Linked DNA regions of Drosophila melanogaster. The protein of the gene in region 2 interacts with the protein of the main gene of each other region in a pairwise test. Each region holds a gene or a part of one and is shown on either strand. Other genes may lie near its edges.

What was found.
Region 1: the proteins of CG16719 (region 2) and CG9106 interact in a two-hybrid assay, tested with the Drosophila melanogaster proteins (2 studies listed by BioGRID).

The regions. Positions count from the first base shown.
Region 1 is NC_004354.4:15,270,591-15,274,520, forward strand, and holds CG9106 (uncharacterized protein), read right to left. Parts: upstream 1,816-3,930; 5' UTR 1,397-1,815; intron 1,325-1,396; 5' UTR 1,241-1,324; coding exon 809-1,240; 3' UTR 446-808; downstream 1-445.
Region 2 is NT_037436.4:9,683,080-9,686,761, forward strand, and holds CG16719 (uncharacterized protein), read left to right. Parts: upstream 1-2,091; 5' UTR 2,092-2,175; coding exon 2,176-2,991; 3' UTR 2,992-3,171; downstream 3,172-3,682. Other genes in the region: alphaTub67C (alpha-Tubulin at 67C), read left to right, coding at 1-209; Prps (phosphoribosyl pyrophosphate synthetase), read right to left, coding at 1,287-1,379, 1,443-1,776, 1,842-1,966, 3,286-3,384.

The DNA.
Region 1 (3,930 bases), on a different chromosome or scaffold from region 2:
CGGGGATTTGAATTTGTCACGTGGCCGGCAAACGCACCTGGGCACAAAGGGGCGGACAAGGACACAACATGCAATTATACGCAATCAACATAAATCATTCAAATTGCCACGCACACACACACACTCGCAGAAGAGGGAAAAATAATGGTAAAGAAAAGTCGAGACGCACTTCAAAAGGGGGCGGCTGTCGGTGTGGGCGTGGTGACCGTTGACGTTGGCTTTTGGCTAATTTGCAATTGAAATGCCCAAATTCTGTGGGCTGGCCGCATTACGCATACGCCGTGTGGTGTCTGCGTGGCAAAGGCTCCTTAAACTTCCGCTCAGTCCATTCATCTTCCACCCCCGCATTCCGAGTCGACTGACAAATGCCACAGGGGCACGTGAAGCGGCCAGTGACCAAGGTAAATGGCACCCATACTGTCCATAGAGATTTCTTTATAAATTTCCTTTATTTTATTATTATTTTTTTTTATTTTTTGCAATTAATTACGGAATAACCTTGCAGATTCGTATACTATTTCTAGTAATTGCTGCCTTCGGAAAAATCACTTAACGCCAGGAACTTAAAATTTAGAGCAGGGAATGTAGCAAGAAAAAACAATCGACGTTATATTGCCAATGCCACGTATTTGGCGAATACTGAATTCCTAGATTTTGCCAACAGTGCCAAAGTTCAAATGACAGTTGCCATGGTCCAGCTTATAAACCGTACAAGCCAAACGGAGCTAATCAAGAATCCATCAAAACCATCGTCCATGTGCGGTACACTGCAATCGCTTCAACGAAGAATCTGGTTTATGCATCACCATCAGTCGAACAGAACGTCCATCGGTATGCCATAAATCTCGGCCAGCTGCAGTTTGGTGTAGGCAACAACGCCGCTGGGACAGTAGGCCATCGCCTCCTCCAGAGTGACCCACTTGGAGCTTGACTCACCGGCACATACCACATGCAGATAGACGATACCATCGAACATCTCATGGCTGATGATGCCCATCAGGTTGCTGGGGGTGCCGCTACTGACGTTTCCGGCGGTGTTGCCACTACCGTTACCATCACCGTTACCGTTACCGTTTCCGCTTCCGCTTCCGTTTCCGCCAATGATGTTGCCGCTCTGGCTCCCAGCGCTGCTCATTCCATCGCCGTTGCCACCGTCGCTGCCGCCACCGCTGCCGCCACCCACGCTGCTACCGCTGGCATTGGCGTTCGAAGAGGTGGACGGATTCAGATTGATGACCATCCTGGAAGGGCAGCGGTTCGGGATATCTATGAGGCAAATATCGAATGCAGCCAATTAACTGAGTGTATTTATAATTATTTGGATCTAGTAAGCCGAAAAGTATTTCTTATATATATTTAACAACAATACTTATATTATAAGTGATAATTAACTCACCTGAATATAAAACTATCAAAAGTGGAAAAGAAATCGGATTGGAAGCAGTTATCAAAGTGGCTCAATACTGAAGCTTCGTTGCTGGTTGCTACCTTTGGCCTTCTGGACGGGATGGTCCGTGGTTGGATTCTCGGTTAGTCCTTCGGAAACCGTAAACTTTGAACTTTGAACCTACGAATTTTGTACTTTGCTCGGTGCGATCCAATGAGACTCTGGTGCAGTGATGTGCTGCTTAGGGATCTGTTATACACTTCTCGACGTTCAAGTCGCACGCGATTCTAGTGCAACTCTCTAATTAGCTAGATACAATACCAAGTTATGATTTTTGTTTCGCTGTTTGATTCTTTTTTTTTTCGATTTTCCTCTATTTTTTTTCACTTTTGTTTAAACGGTGTGTGTGTATTTTGTGTCGATTGTGTGTGTTGACTACCTAGATGATTTTAACTTATGAAATGAGCCATGACATTAATCTGGCATTCTTTTCAAAGCCAGCTGGTACATTTTGTTTCGACGATGAAATGAGAGACACAAATATCGCGAATATTCAAGATTTTGGTAAATTAATAATTCTTATGGCTATTTCATTAATTCATGACACTGCACATTCTAAGTTAGACTTTAAAGTAAGTGCAGTAAGTGTACTATTTAAGTGCAAAAAGGCAAACAAAGTTTTCAAGGATTTTTTTTTTTAGTGTTTTCCTCAGAAAATCCCCATACCATTCACAATTTTTTGACATCGCCCGGCAACACGGGTGTTTATGAATGTGCCATATAATGTTTTGCTTCTGCCAGCAGCACCAAATGAACTGAACAAATAAAACTTTCACGGCAAAGTTGTTGACACGGCAGCCTCCTCCTCTTCCGATTTGCAGCTGCAATTCCTCACCTTCATGTTCACGCTTAGCTCTTTATTTACGATTGCAGGTGCAATGCGGGAAAAGTGCAGGAAAAGTATGGGAAAAGTGTGGGAAAAGTGTGGGAAAAGTGCGGGTGTGGGCGAGAGGAAAAGCAAAGTAAAAGCACCAGAGCTGAGTTTAAGTCGCGGGAGCAGGGGTCCCAAAGCAATTAAATCGCATTCGCCGTGTGGAAAGCAAATAGGATTCCGGGTGGGGCTTTGAATGTGGAGTCCGGACAGAGACAAACAATCAAACGGAAATTAATTGCGGTATGTGTGAAAAGTGAAAGCCAAAAGCTGTTCGGTAAATGATTGTCGAGCAGCGAGTTTTACCCCGGTTTCCCCACGACGACTTTAATTCTTAAACCCTGATTGATAGCTAACCTCGTCCTGGAGCAATGACTTCTGCTCTCCAGCTCTTCAGAATCGAAATGAAACCAAGATAGTATGCTGACATCCGAAAAGAAGTAAATTTTTACCACTGCATAGCCACACAAAGCGAAAACTTTTACACAGCAACCATGTAATAAAATAAGTCTTCAGAATTCGATGGGTAATCTTTTCAGCTGCTTTTTGGTCATTCAATATATGCTTTTCGTATTTAGAGGCATTTTGCTTACTCATTGAACTTATGTATGTGAAACACAGCAATTTTCCACACTTGTGTCATGGCATTGCCAAAAAGCGATAAGGGCGAAGGGTCGAAGTTTAATTAATACACCATTACGTGCTGTTTTTGGCCAACAATGGGTGGGTAAGCTTACCATTCGTTTTGAGATGCGTTGCAGCCCAATTTTGTCAACGTGGCCATAGCTGTATCCACATCCGGATCCGGTTCACAATGAGACGACGACTCATTGGACCGGCAGTGAGTTATATCAAAGACACTAGAATAACAAGATGCGTAACGGCCATACATTGGTTTGGCACTATGCAGCCACTTTTTTGGTGACGGCCAAAATTACTCTCTTTCCGCTCACTCCCGCTGAGAGCGTAAGAAACCTAAAAATATAATTTGCTTGCTTGTGTGAGTAAAAACAAGAGACGAGAACGCGTATAAGTGTGCGTGTTGTGCTAGAAGACGATTTTCGGGCCGAAATCAATTCTGATCGAAGAAACGAATTTACATGGTACATATTAGGGTAGTTTTTGCCAATTTCCTAGCAATATGATAAAATAAAAAAATTTTTTAAAATTCGCGCCCTGACTATTATAATTTTAAAGCTTTTTAAATTTGTTTGTTAAAATTGCCGCTCGAATTAGCTACCGTTTACACATTTATATTTATGTTTAATTCTAATTTTTCTCTCATCTGACAATTTTTTAAAAGCTAAATATTTTTTTTGAAACACTTTTAATGTTAATGTTACATCATATTAAGTCAAATGATTTAATAAATATACTAAATAATTAAATATGCAATTAAATGAAATTGCAAAAGTAATATCAAAGACAATAGAATTATTCTAGTGTCTTTGCTTTGTTCATATCTTGAGGCACGAAGTGCGGACACAAGCACTCAACAATCATTACCTTATTAATTTTTCACACGCCGCAAGATGAATACTCTAATGACAAATATTCTTATATAAAGTCATTTTTGAAATTTATTTTTGTGATAATATGTACATAGATTTGA
Region 2 (3,682 bases):
CCATCTCGGTGGCCTTCTCCAATCTCTCCTACAAGTTCGATCTGATGTTCAAGAAGCGGGCCTTCGTCCATTGGTACGTGGGCGAGGGCATGGAGGAGGGCGAGTTCACGGAGGCGCGCGAGAATATCGCCGTACTGGAACGGGACTTCGAGGAGGTCGGTCTGGACAATGCCGAGGAGGGCGGCGACGAGGACTTCGATGAGTTCTAAGCCCACATCCCAACAATCCCAGCCAGACTTCAGTCATTACAATATCCAATAATTATGTGTAAATAAATTAACCAAGAGTTTGAATCATTATGAGTTTCTTTGGACAAGGGATGAGGATATGGTTTATAAGACCAGGATTTCAGTTAATTAAAGTTGGTTTAAGCATTTAAAGTAAAAGTAAACTAAAGATCCTATAACAATTATATTCGAGTACGAAAAAGAAAATATTCCCTTTTTATAGGACAATATCTAATCCTTCCACAAATCCAGTAAAAACACATTCTTGCATTAGTTTTCTGTAATATTTTTTTTTGTATTTTTTTCTTTAGTTTTATTTTTGTTGTTTGTTTGGTTGTTTATTATTTTTTAACGCCTATTTGCTATGTTCTTTTCAATTGTATTTTTTTGTTTTACTTAATTTTACTAGATTTTGTTTTGAACTTGCAAGTATTTTGCGTTTTTTTTTTCTTTATGAGCTTACAATAAAGAATCATCAAAAAGTTGTTGCACAGTGTAAAATTACAATTTTTTGTTGTTGTGTGTGTGGGTGTACATGTGGGTGTGTTTGTGTGAGTGTGTGTGTTTTGAGTGTATATCTTCTACGGTGTTAATCTACAAATCTAAATTTCTCTCTAAGAGCAGGCCAATGTTTACACCAATCAACTGGGAATTTATCGTTCGTGTTAACTTGTAAAATCAGAAAACGGCAAAAAGTTTGTTTAAACAAAGAACTTACTATACAAAAGGAAAGGCATTGCATTTGTGTACTTTTGTATTGTTTTTTGCGGTATTTAGTGTTATTTTTTATGCTCCTATTTAGTATAATTACACAATGACGATTTCCCATCTACTGAGTTTGCATTTACTTTAATTACAATAGTTAATCCATAAAAAATATATAACGATGATGATGGCAAAATATGTGGTTTCGAATTGTTGTGTTTGTGTTGAAAATTGCATTACAAATTGCTATTAAAGTGGGTTTTTTTCTCTTTTCATTTTGCTGTGGCTTGCTAACGGTGTTCTGGTTGCTGTTTTATCAAACGTTTGCTGGTTTTTCTGCCGATTGTTTGTTGTTTAGTATGGAACATTTGAGAAGAGATACGAGACACTCTCGCCGTTGTGTGTCCTTCTGACGGCCTCGGCGAACATCATCGAGACATCAATGCACTGAGAAAAAAAAAATAAAAATTATATTCACATCTAAAGAAGCATATATATGATATAACCCACCTGGATTTTGGGACAGTCCCGCATGTGTCCATCCTGCGGTATGGTATTGGTCACCACTACCGCCTCGAAACAGGCATTATTGATCCGCGAGATCGCCGGACCCGAGAAAATGCCATGCGTCAGAATAGCATACACCTTGGTGGCTCCCGCCTCCACCAGGCGATCGGCGGCATGCACAATGGTGCCGCATGTGTCGGCCATGTCATCGACCAGAATGGCAATCTTGTCCTTGACATCACCCACCAGTACCATAGAGGCCACTTCGTTGGCCTTCTTGCGCTCCTTGTGTATCAGAGCGAACTCCACGTTCAGTCGATCGGCAATTGAGGTGACACTTAAAGTGAAATATTAATAGCATTATTAATCTATTACGCATATGGATTAAAGACTGCAACTAACCGCTTGGCACCGCCAGCATCGGGCGACACAATGATCGAGTTCTTCCACTCGGGAATGTTCTCCTTGATCCACTTGAGTACCGCCGGCTCGGCATAGAGATTATCAACTGGTATATCAAAGAAGCCCTGCGAATGGAGAATTTATCGAATGAGTTTTAATTTAGCCATCCAGTAGTCATTGCCAGTTGACACAGCTGCCAGTCATTGGCAGAGAGTATGTCTATCAAGCATTATTGTCTGAAACATATATGGAAGCTAGACTTGCCAAAATAAATTTACAACAGAAATTAAAAAGCAGGTAAAATCCGAAAACCCCAAATCACCCCTTGCTAAGTATGGAGAACGAACAGCAGAATGACCTGAACCAGTGGCTAAAGGAGCAGCGCATTATCCTGGATCTGAAAGCTCGTCGTTCATTCTCCGATGTCTTGCCGGTGGCAAAGATTGTCAAGCGCAGTCATCCTCGTCTGGTGGATCTGCACAACTATACGCCCAAGAGCAGCGTGGCCCTGAAACTCCAGAGCTGGCAGACCTTCAATCAGAAGGTACTGAAGAAATTGGGCATCAATTTGACACGTTCGGAGCTGGAGCAGCTGGCGTCAGCAGCGCCAGGAGCCATAGAATCACTGTTCCATGAACTAATCGCGGTGACCAAGTGCGCTAGTCCCAGACCAAGACCCCGTCTGAGTGTATCGCCAACGAGCTCCCAAAAGAGCGTGGTGATTAAAAAGTTGGCTAACAAGAATTCTGTGGTACGCACTCTCAACCGATCCCTCACCCAAGTGATTGAGCGCTCCTGCTCGATCGATAGTCAACCCCAGGTGCTGACCATGGACGTGAATGTTGTGGTCAATGGACAGATGAAGAAGGTATCCAAGAAAGTGGTCGAGTACGAACACTATGCCAATGCTATTAGGGAGAGTGCCGAGAAGTCACGCTACATCAATTCCATTGCCGAGAGGGCCAATCACCTGGAGAACACAATTGCCCTCAAGAATGAACGTATTGATGTGCTACTCCATCAAATGGCCAAACTATCCGTGAGCATTCTATCCATGCCACACACCCTCAACGGGACCGATGACGACACAGAGCTTCAATCCCGGTCTGACAACGCCGCCGAACCCTGCTATGAATTCGGCACCTTTTAGCCAACGGATGGATTTGTCGGTTCTCCGAGGATCCGGCGAGATTATAGCTCCTCTTTTGATTCAAACCTGATGTTATTGGATATATTTGTACTGTATATTTTGTAATTTATTTTAAACCCTTAAATAAGTATTTCTTTGGCCTCACTTTAATAAACAAAAATTGTTACGTCGTTCAAAAGGAAAATCACACTTTCTTTATCGTAATTAATTGACTGATATACAAATCGCGGCACGATAAGAAATCACTCTAATATCAAAGATAAATATACAAATGTTGTTGATGGGCTGACTTACCTGAATCTGTGAGGCGTGCAGATCCATGGTGATGATGTGATCCGCTCCAGCAACGGACAGCATGTTGGCCACCAATTTGGCCGAGATGGGCGCACGACTCTGTGCATTGGCCAGCGTAGAAAGAGATGCAAAGGAGAGGTTTCCATTAGCGCAACTAGTAGTCAAGTTTATATCTTAAGGCTAGGCATTTATGAGGAGGTAGTAGTAGTAGTAAATCATGGAAATCAAAACCGAACATGGACCGAACAACACATATGTATAGAGACAGAAATCAACAAAGAGAGGTTAACGTTCCAATAGATTGCATATGAAGAAGATACATAATTCATGGACAGAATAGAGAATTCAGTTGCGACAACACAAAGGACACAAATGTGATTCGGTGCAGCAGAACCTG